Linked DNA regions of Arabidopsis thaliana. The protein of the gene in region 4 interacts with the protein of the main gene of each other region in a pairwise test. Each region holds a gene or a part of one and is shown on either strand. Other genes may lie near its edges.

Evidence for each region.
Region 1: the proteins of AT4G12950 (region 4) and AT2G41820 interact in a protein complementation assay, tested with the Arabidopsis thaliana proteins (one large-scale study listed by BioGRID).
Region 2: the proteins of AT4G12950 (region 4) and AT2G29250 interact in a protein complementation assay, tested with the Arabidopsis thaliana proteins (one large-scale study listed by BioGRID).
Region 3: the proteins of AT4G12950 (region 4) and CLE3 interact in a protein complementation assay, tested with the Arabidopsis thaliana proteins (one large-scale study listed by BioGRID).

The regions. Positions count from the first base shown.
Region 1 is NC_003071.7:17,444,853-17,450,625, forward strand, and holds AT2G41820 (Leucine-rich repeat protein kinase family protein), read left to right. Parts: upstream 1-1,891; 5' UTR 1,892-2,317; coding exon 2,318-4,661; intron 4,662-4,733; coding exon 4,734-5,062; 3' UTR 5,063-5,256; downstream 5,257-5,773. Other genes in the region: AT2G41830 (Uncharacterized protein), read right to left, coding at 5,579-5,743. UniProt on the Arabidopsis thaliana protein: Leucine-rich repeat receptor-like protein kinase that may play a role in vascular tissues development.
Region 2 is NC_003071.7:12,578,385-12,582,567, forward strand, and holds AT2G29250 (Concanavalin A-like lectin protein kinase family protein), read right to left. Parts: upstream 2,397-4,183; coding exon 525-2,396; downstream 1-524. Other genes in the region: AT2G29260 (NAD(P)-binding Rossmann-fold superfamily protein), read left to right, coding at 4,139-4,183.
Region 3 is NC_003070.9:1,904,053-1,906,831, reverse strand, and holds CLE3 (CLAVATA3/ESR-RELATED 3), read right to left. Parts: upstream 915-2,779; 5' UTR 858-914; coding exon 606-857; 3' UTR 534-605; downstream 1-533. Other genes in the region: MEE5 (Ribosomal protein S5/Elongation factor G/III/V family protein), read right to left, coding at 2,249-2,347, 2,661-2,779.
Region 4 is NC_003075.7:7,574,865-7,577,738, reverse strand, and holds AT4G12950 (Fasciclin-like arabinogalactan family protein), read right to left. Parts: upstream 1,098-2,874; coding exon 567-1,097; downstream 1-566.

The DNA.
Region 1 (5,773 bases), on a different chromosome or scaffold from region 4:
TGAAAAAATGTATATGCATAATTAAAAATCAATTCATAGAAAAATTCAGTCGTACTTTCGTCAATTCATGGATTTATTTTTTGTTGTAGCTAAAACTTCAGTTGTACTACCAAAACAAGAAGAAGTTCAACGTCTTGTTGATAGTATCATGAGTTGTGAAAACTCACGTGAAAAGAAATGTAACTATGTAATAAAGTTTTTTATAGTATTAATAGAATAAAACTTGCTTAATTGGTGGTGTTATTTATATATACTTAATTAGGCAATTAGGTTTCAAGAAGAGGAAAAAAACGATGGGACGGAGGTGGTGAGTGGTGGTGGTCGGAGCAGACAAAGAAGGGTCCTACAATTTGCCTAACCGTAAAGAGCCACATTCCTTTTTCTTTTACCCCATCCCGTGAGTGAACCCCACTCTTCCTCATTCTATTATTCTCAATCTATATTTTCAAAAATAAACATAAATATACAAACTCTTTGCAGCATAAAGGAATATGTTGATAAAACGGAGCTTTGTTTATGATTTTGTTTCATTATGATATATTTTTTTTAAAACATTTACCAACAATTTCTTAGAAACATAAATTAAGAGCTAACTAGTATATCTAGTATTTCTCGAAACCCAAACTCATGTTCTTAATTTTTTATTTTTTTCTGGAATGTTAATGACTATCGGATATTTGAGTATAATTGTATGAATTTGCTTGACTGTTGCATACTTTGAATCTTTCTTTCTAGTTTACAATTGTGCAAATTAAATCAAACTCGTTTTCAGTATTTTACCTTTTAGTACTATACTTAATTATGTCATCTGTATCAGGTAATAGTTAGAGGAAAGAGGAAAATGGTGTAATATAAACAACAATTATTTGTATGTGAGTTTACGACCATCATCTAGCTTAAAGTACACACCAATGAGAATATGAACACAGTTTAGCTCAACTCATATATGATCTATCCGACATCTTTTCAATGTTTTGGGTCGCGTAGGAGTATCGGAAGCAGCTTAAGACATAGCTATTTAATAAATTGTTGGTATGTTTTATTTATAACAATTATCACAAAATCAAAAGATACTAATCTCGCTGTTTGAGGCAGACATCTGAGAAAACATGTCTTCTACCAACATTCAAGATTTGACAAATCGTTGTTTACGTATTGTTATATTGAGCATCTTACAACAAAAATTTACGTGTATTTTGAAACTCGGAAATCAATCATATCTATTGATATTAACACACAGTGTTTCCTGACTATCGTCGCAGACGAATAATAATAGTAATAATCTTCCACCTCGTGTGATTCTATAATCTTATATTCTTGACATAAATGTCGTCAAAATTTGGTATACATCAAACATGGATCGTGTTTAAAGTAATCATCAAAAATCACCACACGAGAGTAGATTCCCTATTGTCAAATATAGATCAAAGAGAAAACATGTAGGCTACAAATATAACCTAGTCCCTACGAATAAGAAAAATGTCATTATACCACAAATGATAACTGCAAAGTGTGTGTAAATTTTGATTTTAAAAGAAGGTAAAAAAATAAAAAAGATAGATTTGGAAACAATCTTTTACCTCTTTGGTATTGAACATTGTGACAGTATCAATCAGTATGGTACAGAAAAAACGTCAGAGGAAAAGAATTATCAAAAAACGTACACTCTTCATTTTCATTAAAATCTTTTTTTTTTCTTCCAAAAAACAAAAGCAGAAAAAATGTGTCAGAAAGATTTATGCAGCTTTCATTCATTCATCACTTGCACTGTCTCGTGAAGAAAATTAAACTTTTTTGTATCAGAAATTAATTACATTAAAAGAAAAGAAAAAAAAAATTCCCTCCTTTCCAAGTGCGTTTGCTTTGTGGAGTCTCTCTCTTCTCTCTCTCTGTCTGTGTGTGAAGTGAGAGGATCTTTGTTTGGTTCTGCAATCATAATTTCGTGATATACTAAAAAAAATGCAATTTCCTCTTCTCTCTTATAAGCAGAGACCCTACTACTCTTTGATCGAATTTTCCTTGCTCTCTTCTCTTTGTTCTCTCATGTTTTTTTCTCCCTAAATTTATGGGCTTTGCTCTCTCTCTAAGCCACACTCACACTCTAAAGCACTCGTCTTTCTTCTTCTTTTTCTTCAGAAACAGTTATTTTGACTTGAAAAACCAGAGCTTTAATCCTGGATTCATGGCAAAAAGAGCATTACTTTTCTTTTCCTCTCTCACTTTCTTGTTTCATTTGGCTTAAAAATTCAATGATAATTTTGTATTTGGGGGAAAGAAGAAGAAGAACAAGAGTGTGTGATTGATTCAATTCTTAAAAATGACATTTTGGTGTATGTCAATTCTTCTGATTGTTGGGTTCTTATCAAAATCTGAGCTTTGTGAAGCTCAACTAAGCGATGAAGCCACATTGGTTGCGATTAATAGAGAGCTTGGAGTTCCAGGATGGAGTAGTAATGGCACTGACTATTGTACTTGGGTTGGGCTTAAGTGTGGTGTCAACAACTCTTTTGTTGAAATGCTTGATCTCTCAGGGCTTCAGCTTAGAGGTAATGTTACTCTAATCTCTGACCTCAGAAGCTTAAAGCATCTAGATCTTTCTGGTAACAACTTCAATGGACGAATTCCTACTTCTTTTGGCAACTTGTCTGAGCTTGAGTTTCTTGATTTGTCTCTGAATCGTTTTGTTGGAGCGATTCCGGTTGAGTTTGGTAAGCTTAGAGGGCTTAGAGCATTCAACATTTCTAATAACTTGCTTGTTGGAGAGATACCTGATGAGCTTAAGGTTCTAGAGAGGTTAGAGGAGTTTCAGGTCTCTGGAAATGGGTTAAATGGTTCTATACCTCACTGGGTAGGGAATCTGAGCAGTCTCAGGGTGTTTACAGCTTATGAGAATGATTTGGTGGGTGAGATACCGAATGGGTTAGGTTTGGTTTCTGAGTTGGAATTGTTGAATCTTCACTCAAACCAACTTGAGGGGAAGATTCCAAAAGGGATTTTTGAGAAAGGGAAGCTTAAAGTTTTGGTCTTGACACAGAATAGATTGACCGGTGAACTCCCTGAAGCAGTAGGAATCTGCAGCGGCCTCTCGAGCATTAGAATTGGGAATAACGAGCTTGTGGGAGTCATTCCGAGGACAATCGGGAACATTAGTGGACTTACTTACTTTGAAGCAGACAAGAACAATCTTTCAGGTGAGATTGTTGCAGAGTTCTCCAAGTGTTCTAATCTCACTCTGCTGAATCTGGCAGCTAATGGGTTCGCTGGAACCATTCCAACAGAGCTTGGTCAGCTCATTAATCTTCAAGAACTGATTCTCTCAGGTAATAGTCTCTTTGGGGAGATCCCTAAGTCGTTTCTTGGAAGTGGAAACCTAAACAAGCTTGATTTGAGTAACAACAGACTCAACGGAACCATCCCAAAGGAACTCTGCAGCATGCCAAGGCTACAGTATTTACTTCTTGATCAAAATTCCATAAGAGGAGACATACCTCATGAGATTGGAAACTGTGTGAAGCTACTTCAGCTCCAACTGGGTCGAAATTACTTGACGGGAACCATTCCTCCTGAGATTGGTCGCATGAGGAATTTGCAGATAGCACTCAACTTAAGTTTCAACCATCTTCATGGATCATTGCCTCCCGAGTTAGGAAAACTCGACAAGCTCGTGTCATTGGATGTCTCTAACAATTTGCTCACAGGATCCATACCGCCACTACTAAAAGGTATGATGAGTTTGATCGAGGTTAATTTCTCAAACAACCTTTTGAATGGTCCAGTGCCAGTCTTTGTTCCCTTTCAAAAGTCTCCAAATTCGAGCTTTTTGGGAAACAAAGAGCTTTGTGGAGCACCATTGAGCTCTTCTTGTGGATATTCTGAAGATCTTGACCATTTGAGATATAATCACAGAGTCTCCTACAGAATTGTGCTCGCAGTGATTGGTTCTGGTGTAGCTGTCTTTGTATCAGTCACTGTGGTTGTTCTTCTCTTCATGATGAGGGAGAAACAAGAGAAAGCAGCGGCTAAAAATGTTGATGTTGAAGAAAATGTTGAGGATGAGCAACCAGCAATTATCGCGGGAAATGTCTTCCTTGAAAATCTTAAACAAGGAATTGATCTTGATGCAGTTGTGAAAGCAACTATGAAGGAGTCAAATAAACTCAGTACGGGAACTTTCAGTTCAGTTTATAAAGCCGTTATGCCTTCGGGGATGATTGTTTCGGTGAAGAAACTCAAGTCTATGGATAGAGCCATATCTCATCATCAGAACAAGATGATCAGAGAACTCGAAAGACTCAGCAAACTTTGCCATGACCATTTGGTTAGACCGATAGGGTTTGTTATATACGAAGACGTTGCTCTCTTGTTGCATCAGCATTTACCTAATGGTAACTTAACTCAGCTGATTCATGAGTCCACCAAGAAACCAGAGTACCAACCTGACTGGCCAATGAGACTGTCCATAGCTGTTGGAGCAGCAGAAGGTTTAGCATTTCTCCACCAAGTCGCCATCATTCACCTCGACGTTTCCTCTAGCAACGTCTTGCTAGACTCTGGTTACAAAGCCGTGCTTGGGGAAATCGAAATATCGAAACTTCTAGATCCCTCTAGAGGCACCGCGAGTATTAGCTCAGTTGCAGGCTCTTTTGGCTACATTCCACCAGGTATAAAGTCTTAATTTTGTTACCAGTAACTTTATACAAAATCCAACACTTTCCCTTGGTTTATTTCTGCAGAGTATGCATACACAATGCAAGTTACAGCTCCGGGGAATGTTTACAGTTATGGAGTTGTGTTGCTTGAGATTCTAACCTCAAGAGCGCCGGTGGAGGAAGAGTTTGGTGAAGGAGTAGATTTGGTGAAATGGGTCCATGGAGCTTCAGCGAGAGGAGAAACACCGGAACAGATACTCGATGCCAAGCTTAGCACCGTGTCTTTTGCTTGGAGGAGAGAGATGCTTGCAGCTCTGAAAGTTGCATTGCTTTGCACAGACATCACACCTGCAAAAAGGCCAAAGATGAAGAAAGTAGTTGAAATGCTTCAAGAGGTTAAGCAAATCAAATGAGCAAATGAATATATAGTTTCCTCTTGTGACATTCATATACAAAAGAAAACGCATTCCTATATATGCGAGCTTCTCCTCTGTGTATTATATAGGTTTTTATGATAAAATTGATCCGCTTATGGTTGATTTACTTATCCAATGACACAAATTATAAATTAGATCATAGAAGAACCAATGTACATCTTGAGGGAAACTGTTCAACAAAGCATCTGTTGTAGAATCTTAAGATTACAATACCATGTGAAAACCAGATGGCCTCTTTCAATTTTTTACACATCACACCAAAAAGAAACAAGAATTGGACAAAAGAATAAGTGAAAAGAGAAGATAGGAGTAAAAACCTAGGAGGAATGATCTAATTATAGCACGACGGAGATAATTCCGATTTATGATGCTAAAGAATCTATAAAAACGTAACCCAAGACTTTGAAAACCAAGCAAACCTATTTTTGTTATGTTTTGTTTGAGTTCTTGACTGGAATTCAAAGCCAAACATGGTTTGGATCCTGCCGATGATCAACAGCCAGCAGCTTTAAGGAAGTTGTCGTAAGGGCTTGAGGCTGGTAGTCTAAATGCTTGTGGGTTATTTTGTAGTTCTGCATAGCACGGTGACTGAATAGTTCCCACTGGTGTTCTTGGCGATTTCATGTCGAATTCTTTCGACAGTAAAGGGACTTCGACCTAAACAAATTTCAGTAATCAATACAAAAA
Region 2 (4,183 bases), on a different chromosome or scaffold from region 4:
ATTATTATTGATTTCATGGTCATCTAGTGCATATACCCTTCTTTTAAATTAACCAGGTGAATCCAATCCAAAATCTAAACTAATCCCTTTAACAAAAAAAAAAAAAAATCTATACTGAACCCAAATTCCATAGAAATCTAGATTTTGTTGCTACTATAAAAATCTACTGGTGAACAAAGATAATTGAAATTACAATGAAAGGGCTAGAAAAGTCTGCCAACAATACTATTTATTTGCTTATCTTTTCTTTAACAATACATACTAGTTATCCTAAAACGACGAACAAACATCATTTAGAATTTAAAATCAAACACAAATATTTTAAAATATTCATTTTCTCGGAAGAGTACGAAGATTGTTTAATCGAAGATAATATTTAATGAAATTAATTTCTCAAAACGAGAAATTCTTATTTCCATTTTTAAAAGTTATTCTATGTATTATTCATATCATGCTTATGCATCTTGGGTCCAATCTTGATTTGTACAACGGCGTTTCGAGATCATCGTTAGCCATTTCCTCTTTTAGACGACGTAGTCATCATGAGGGAGATGTTCTGTACCGTTGAGATACTCCAACACTTTCTTCATCATTGGCCTATCTTCTGGAGATCGTCTCACGCAGAGAAGTCCTGTTTTCAGAACCAATAACACTTCTTCAGAGACTAAATTCTTTTTCTTGATTCTTTTGTCGCATCTCCTTAAGAGATTTCCGCTCTTGACCCCTCGAAGCACCCAGTTCACTAAACTGATCTCTACCGGTTCCTTTGTCGGCTCTATGGCTCTCCTTCCACAAACAATCTCCATGATTAACACTCCAAATTCAAACACATCTGTGGCACATGTAGCCTTTCCCGTGTTGACTAGTTCTGGTGCAACGTGTCCCGTAGTGCTGTGTCTGCTTCCATGTCCATAGTCTCCTAGTCGAGCGTTTAGCTCTCCGTCCAAAAGAACGTTACTTGCTTTGACATTTCCGTGTATGAGAGGTTTTTGAACCTCAGCGTGAAGATGTTGAAGTGCTGACGCAATACCCTTTATAATACAAAACCGGTGTACCCATTTGAGAACTGGTAGGTCGTTGCTGAACAAGAACCGGTCTAGGCTTCTATTGATAACATACTCGTAAACAAGATAGATCTCGTTTCCTTTGCTGCAGTAACCATGTAGATCAACAAGATTTCTTTGTTTTACCTTGGAGATTGCATCGATCTCGGCTATTAGGGCTGTCTTTTCTTGCCTTGTGTTGCAAGTAATTCTCTTTACGGCAATTATCTCTGTAGGAGCAAGTTGCCCTTTATAAAAACTCCCAGAGTTTCCCTCTCCCAAAAGCTTAGAGTTGTCAAAACCTCCCGTCGCGCTGGAAATCGTCTGGTGGGAGAATTTCCGTGCGCCTCCGGTGAAGTTTTCCGTTCTACGAAAAAAGCAAACCGCTAAGAAGCTTAAGATCAAGATTCCAAATATTGCTGATGCAGCAATGATTATGATCAGCATCGTGTTACTCGAATTTTTCATGACTGAAACCGGAGGACTCGGGGATGGAGACAATGGAGGTAGCGGGTCTGGAAGAGAGGGAAGCTTCGTGATATCAAAGTCTGATGCTTTCCCCTCGATGCTGAAGCTCCAGCCTAGCACAAAATGTGAGCTCGTGACAGTTCCCGTGGCTGCAGAGAATCCAACATAATTTTCTTCAGAGATGATCCCAGAAAGATTTAGTTTTCTAGAGAGAAGAGGCAACTTTGGCTTCGGACGATCTAGAGGAGCCAATGTGACATTGAGCATCGTCTCAGTTGCGTTGTATTCGATCCAGACTCTTATTGGTTTCCCACTCGCCAGCCTCAAACTTATGTTCTTTGCCTCTCGGTCATCAAAATATTCAGCGGAGGTAGACTCAATGGAGATCACTCCGTTGAGGTCTATACCAACATGGTTATCATCAATATCGTTCAACTCAACGGCCTGCACAGTGTCGAATTCAACTGCAAGAATGCAATTCAAGGAGTTTCCATTGTTGGAGGTATTGAATAGGCCTAGATAATTGCTTGGTAAGGCCCCGCTAAAGTCCAGCGAGGGTGAAATGACAAAAGCTAAGCCGTGGCCTGGTGCGCCAGGTCCTGGAGTGATGGCAAAGACGAAGCTTGTGGGGAAAGATACCAAATTTGAGGAGTTGGGGTTTAAGAATGGTATGGGAAAGCCATGAAAAGCTTGACCTATTTGCCTCATCGAAGTGTTTGTCAACTCCAAGTGGCCACTCGGGTGGATCTTGGACGAGCCAGACTTGAGGAGATTAGCTTCCAGAAAGCCATGGTTAAGAAATTTGGTTTGTTGTTGACTTGAGACACAAGAAAAGTATAGTAGGAAGATTATTGATACAGCTATCGATTTATAGGTATTAGCCATTGATAGTTTTCAGATTTTGATGTTAGCTATGTTCAATGCTATCTTTTTATAGCTTCAAAGAGCTCAAGACACATTCATATTCAAATTTTTTGTTTATGCTGACAAGTTAAACAAACTTAGTTGAAGATTTGACTTTCTATATAAACTGCTAAACAAACCCTTTTTTTTTTTGCAAACCTTTATATTAGTATCCTTGAAAAATTCTTTCGAACTTTCCTCCACAATTTCTTCCTAATAAAATTGATTGCAAAATAAACAAGAAAATGGTTACATATTTTCTGTATAATTTAAATGTGATTACAAAGTCATAATGGATCAAAAATTATTGAACAAAAAAAACGTCATCTTTTAGCTAGCCTTTAGGGTGAATCACCTTTTTTTTTGTTACACATATAATTTTGACTGCCTAACGATCGACGTTTATCCACTATGACTATGTGATACAAACAAATAGAAAGGTTTCTCTTGAGTCTTGTAATTGTGCAATTATTTGTATTAGGAAGAAATTGTGGAGGAAACTTGCAATAATTATCAACTATATGTCGCATAAAAGGCGTTGCTATGTTAGGCTTTTAGCCACTATATATCCAATATAAAAATAAAAAATGGATGAACAATTGAACATTCCTTGAAATTAAAGTGTTAACTTTAAATATGAATATTTATAATAAAAAAATATCCTAACTTTTTTTTATTATTATTATAAAGACATACGTTGTCAAACTAAGAAATTCAATTTGTAAACGAAGAAGAAGAATACTTGACCATTCAAATCTTAGTCTTGTTCTCACTGAAAACTTGTACAAAAATAAATAATTACAAAATCTAGAGAAGTTTTCATGCAAAATTGTATATGTAGATGTAGTCAGATAGAGTTCCATATATTCTATAAACGAAGAAATCACAACAATACAATGTACAAATTAACATCATTAGATTAGAGTCAAAGAATTTTTAAAAATATATCAACTTTCTGAGAAGAGTACAAAGATTGTTTACGAACGAAGAATTCTCAAAACATAAAATAATTAGTTTCCATTTTACAAAAATGATCTTAGGTAATCTGCTTATATTGGTTAAAGTATTTCTATTTTCTAACCAAAACTTAGGCAATTTATTTTGTCACCAACATACAATATTATATTAACAATCTATATATTACTAATCTATATGTTTTTTTCTTTTTGGTCTAAGGTAAACTTTGTGATTTAATTGTAGTATTGTACCTCTTCAATAGATACTCCGTACTCGCATGTATTAATAGAGCATCACATTTATCGACTTCTCTATGGTTAGTTTATGCATCTACTAAGTTTTTTATGGACTTTTGTTTTTGTTGTTCATTTATCGAAATAAAGCAAAAAACTGCAACGATCCAGTTAATCCGCAAAAATTAATGAATTAGAGTTTTTTTTTTTTCTCTTCTTCTTGTTGCATTTTCTCCTTTTTTTTTCTATTTTTTCTAATGATATTAACTAATATCTTCCCTACTAAAATATTGAAATGCTTTATTTTATTTTTTAAATAAAGAAATTGATTATGATTTTTTTTTTGTTACAGTTTATAAATGTGTCTAATAATTTATGGATATTTTATAAAGTTTATAAGATATATATACAGTAATTTAAAATTTGCCGCAATGATGACGTCGTCATCGTCACTAAACCAATCAGAACCATGCTTCGCATAAAGGTGACTCTGACTCATTTGAAAAGCTGAAACATAAACTCTGCTCTGCATAAATGGTGCTTGACATGGCTTCTCACTTGTACACAAATCCACCTCAA
Region 3 (2,779 bases), on a different chromosome or scaffold from region 4:
CAAGATTTTTTGTCAAGTTTATTCATTATTTCTGACAAATATGTGATGCTGACAAGCAATTGAAAAAAAAAAATCTTGCTTCAGAAAATTTTGAATGCTTTTAGATTCACTATATTTCTGCTGGTGAAAAATTCCATTAAAGTTTCACTCATTTTTTGTTATAAAGGTAATGTTTTTCTTTTTTTAGTATATAGATTGATTATTTCAAATACAAACTAAGTGATGTTGATATATGTTATATAGTATATCTATGTAATTATTTGTTAGTTATAATTGTGAATTTTAGATATAAGAAATAAGCTAAATGGTGTTTTTTAATTAACTTGAATAGTATGAACTCATATTTAGTGAAAATGGGAATAGCTCTCAAAATAAGCATAACATGCTGCTTTTTTAAATAGAACATATTTGCTAAAGAAAGATGCATGCAGGAACTACATAAAAACGAGATCATGTAAACAGAAATGCTTCATTAGTGGAAAGACAGAAAATTAACTACAGCATAAGAATATTACATTATAAGTTAAAAAGTTGTAATATCATATTAAAACTCTCCCAAAAATGTTACATTACACATTTTTTTTTGCATTCTTCTATGGTCAGTGTCAGTGATGCCTCGGGTCAGGACCACCGGGACTAAGCCGCTTTGAGTCAAGAGTATTTCCAAGGATCGTCTCTTCGCCTTCTGATCTCCCCTTCATCTCTTTTAACCTCTCAAAAAGTTCACGTCTTATCTTTTTCAAACGACTTGAACCAGAAAATCTCTCTTCGGCAACCAATGGTCGACATTCGTGCACCGATGTCAATTCGAGTACTAGAAGCAGGACCAAACAAACCCATAACTTGAGACTTGCCATATATATGTAACTTCCTCTTAGTTCTTAAAGGTGAGATATATAGTCTTTGAAGATTTTAAGGGGGTGATCTCCATATATAAGCTCAATAGCTACGGTATTTATAGAGAAGCTAAAGTCCTAATTAACGTCCATCTATGCAGAAATTAAATACGTTAATTAAGTTGGAATCTAGTCATATCTACCTAGCTAGTCCCTTCTTATATATCTCTTAATATTTATTTTTGAAAGGTCGTCATCACTTGATTGCATTTGCCTCTATTTTTAGTGGGAACGTAGTAAGTGACGTAATGTATAATTTCTGTTAGTTAAAAATTGTAAAACGAATGGAAGAAAACAAAATTATGTCTATATTGAATGACATGCATAGCTAACTGATTTCACTTGAAATAGAAACTTAAAAGCTAATAATATTTAATTGGGAGATTATTTTTTAAAAAACTCACAATTCATATTCCATAAACTAAAACATAAATTAAAAGCAATTTGAGTATTGTAGTAATTCTACCGAACCCAAATGTATATAGGATATGTGGAAAATCATTATCGTCGTTTGGTTGATGGAGCCAAATGGATATAACCAATGAAGATAAGGCATGACGTTTTCAGAGTTGGCAATGCACATAAAATAAGGTGGAGGAGACCAATCTAAAACCTTAAACGATGTATATATTAATCCACCAGGGCCTTAACTATATATTTTGTAGCTTTATTCTATGTATAATAAGTATAAGTGGTTGCCGCCACGTCCACTTCGATTTGTAAAGAGCACGTCAACGTAAAAAGCTGATTATGGAAGCATGAAATAGACGAAAATAGTAAAGCACAACAAATCTTTGAGACAAGTAGTGACGTTTGACGAATTAACCGATTTTCATTGGAGTAAAATAAGTCGTCTGTGTGCACTAAATTAAATTATGAAGAAAAACTTACTTATATCTAGATAGGTTTGTGCCATTGACCTGGTTTATCTTTAAATTTAGCATTTTTGAAGAATCAAATCTTAGTTATGCAGAAAACTCTTTGCGGAAATAGGATCTGGATCGTACGTTCTCTGTATCATATGTATAATTACTAATCATATAGACAACAAACTATGAGATCATCTTATAAATGATAGTGTCATAACCTAGTTCAGTTTCCCATAATCCAATAGTAGTTTACAATTTTACAAAAATTTGTGAACATTTCCTGTCAACTATTTGCGAGTCATGTGTGAGTGTGACCATGTGGACTGTTGAGTTCATTAAAATCTCTCAACTTACAACGTAAATTTGACACATCAATTACAAAACTGATCCACATTTTCTTGTTCTCCTTTCACATATATAGAGAAGAGAAGATACTACTACTAGTCCTGAATCACGATTTATATGAAAAAAGTGCAGAGATCATCAAATCATCTGCAGATGGAGATCGCCTGTTTGCTGGGCAAGCTCTACCATCATCGCTTCATCAAAGAATTTATTTCCGCTGACGTCTTCGCTCATTCCCTGCATAACCAACAAATTATACATATCGTGAGAGTCTGAAACTGATGATCCAAACACCCAACGAGTCATACAATATAACTAGCCTAGGATGTATCCAGCAAATTATAGCTGGTGTTACTTGGTTAAAGAGTAATTAGCAAGGGCCGGGTTTGTAAACAGTAGTTTCGGGGATCCTTTGGTTTGTGAGGGTTTACTGGGGTCATTTAACCAAACACTAGAGTAACAAATCAGTTTATGGTTTCATTCGTATCTTTAACCGCATGAAACCCACTAAGTTTTGGGATGTGCATTGAAACAAAGGAAATCATAATACCTTTCTACGGCGGGTCTTGACCATGAATTCCCGAGCTAGATGCTGAATAGGAGCGGGCTCAAGTGGGCGCAACTGGATGGCTTTGTCTAGAGGGTCTCCTGGCACAATGGCCCAGTGAT
Region 4 (2,874 bases):
GATTGATTAGTAGTGGTCTTCGATAAGATTTGTTGTATTTCAGCTGGTATTTTGTTTAGTGATTATAGAATGGTAAATGTTTTTTTTTGTAGAGATCTCTTCGTCTATTAATAATGACTCAAAATCTAGTTGACCATTCATGATTCATCTATTACTTTTTTTGAATATTACTTTTCATATATATATATATATATATATATGTTGATAACCTCTCATTGTCGTGGTAAATTTTGGAAAGATGTCTCAGTTATTTATATTGATAATGACTCAAATGATGAGAAGTATCTATCTCCGTGTGTTGTGTGTATAGAGAAGTCGGCATTTTAATGAGTAAAAAACAAGAGAGCATATATGTTCATCGTTAAACCTCTCAATGTATGCAGTCTACGTGTTTAAAAAACAAAAATAAAAAGTTGTACGTTACTAAAAATGACCAAGTCATGAGTACAAGAAAAAAAGGTTTAAGTGTTCATTTAAAAGACTTTCATATTATAGATTAGGGACTTCAGTCTTTTCATATATATATCATAAGGTGAAATGAGCACAATCTATTCATATCACTATGATTAAATGAACCACACAACCGTAACAAGCATAAAGGTGAAGAGCGGCCATTTCGATATAAGCTTAGAGCCGCCGCCGTAAGTTGTGTAATCAAGCGGATATGCAATACGATGGATGGCTATGAAGGAATCCACGTAGATGTCAAGTTCGATGATGAGAACGCCGTCGATAGAAAAAGAAGTAGCAGAATTGTTGGTTACCAGAATGGAGGAGCCGTTGAGAAGAGTCGGTAGTCTCGATCTACTTGGCTTCAAGAGAAGATCTGCAAACTCAAGCCTCTGAGGAACAATGTGGTATGAAGCCAACTTATGTCTATCATCGCTCCCGTTGGCGGAAGAGTTTGGGATGAAGAGGGTAGATGGGATAACCTCGGCGCGGATCCGGTCATTGGTTTCTATGAAAACCGATGACCATTCTTCAAAAGGGGCATGAGCCAATGCATCAATAACATCACGGGCCGTCTCCTCCACCGTGCCAGAGACAACGGCGAAAACTGAAACGGTGGAGAGAAGAAAAAATAGTAGGAGATTCATATCCAAGAGACCAAAAGTGAGAGAAAAGTCCAAGAATGGAAGAAAGGAGTTTTCTTTTGTTCTTGGGAGTTAGGAAATTGTGATATGGCTAGTTGTATCAAGTTAGTATTATATAATTAAAAGCAAAGAGAATTATGTGTAGGAACAAAAGGTGAGTGAAAGTGTGAAGAAAGACTGCACACAAATTTTGAGACCTCTTTAGAAGCTTGAACCGCACAAAAAAAAAGGATTGAGTTCAAATATTTCCTATATACCATAATAGCTTAATATTATGATTTTGATTTGATTAGATAGAGAACAATGTAGCTCAAATGATAATTGGTTATAGAATACATTTGGAACATTTTTAGTTTTTCTTAAGTATCATTGTATCAATGATATCATTAACAATAAAAAATAATCTTAACCAAGAGTAAATATAACATGATTGATATATAAAACACAATTATATATCATACTAGTCAAAGCATCCCATTTTCTTGAAAAAAGCAGGTACCGATGCCTTATGACAAAATTTGTTTCACTCAACTGCACAAAATATTTATTAAATAGAAATAATAATATTAAGAATCACCAAACGATTTAGCATTGGTTTAAAAGAACCTTTACCCTTAACCTTTTAATTAGAGATAAACTTAACTAGAAGAAACTTTACTTTAATAAAGTAGACTGTGACTGAAAAATATAATGAAAGCCAATTATGGGTTTTAAAAGAAATTGTTTTGCTTTAAAACACCTAAAACATATTACATAATTAACTATAACGATTTTAAAAACAAATATTAACCGAACTAAAAAACAAAGCAAAGTCTATACGTAATTATTTAGGATAATGATTGTTTATCCTGAGACTGCCTTGATTGGTGTATAGATTAACATGTAAAAGCTAAGTACGTAAACAGAGGATAGCGTGTACTAGAATGCTCTCCAAACCAAATAACATAATTAGGACATAATTAAACAGAACTAAGGTCTTAAACACCTTCTTGAATTGTTTCGGATACTCCTTTTGTTTTTGGATATTTCGGGTACACATTCGGTTACCTTTTCGTTCGTTTCGTTTAAAGATTCTATAATCCATTTTTTTCACGCTAGACCCGAACCGTCTAGTTTGACCCTGTGACCTGTACACACTTCCAGTTTGGGTTAACATCCAACAGTTTAAAAACTAGAAAAAAAAACACAAAAAATTCACCATTAACATGCTATCCACTGAATCAGTCGGGTTTGAGTTTTAACAAAATCCATTTGATTTTGATATTTTGGAATTAAATATTAGGAATGGTGAGAGAAACAACGGTGATTAGTTATATTGTTTTCGCAATGTTTTATTAGTTTTTTTGTTGATAATCTCATACTATCTAAGTATTTTTTTTATGGTTTTTGTTGGATTTAAAAATTTTAATCACTTTATTTTTATTGTGAAACTTCATATTTTGTTAAACATGGTATGATTATTTTTTATTTTTATATTTATAATACTATATAATTTCTAAAAGTATTAAAAATATTAAATAAATTTTAATCAATTGATCTATGGTCGAATCCGGTTGAACCCAATGACACAGTAACCTAAAAAGTTATCTGGTTCACCATTCGGGTTGGGTTTGAAAAAATTGGTTAAGATATTTTATAATTTTGGTTGGGATTCAGTTCGTTTTTTTATTTGTTCGGTTTAGTATTTTGGTTTCGGTTATCTCAGTATTTCTTTCTTGAATTATTCTGTTACGGCTAACACGACTTTCTAGTTAAAAGCTTATACTCTGTTTTTTTCAAT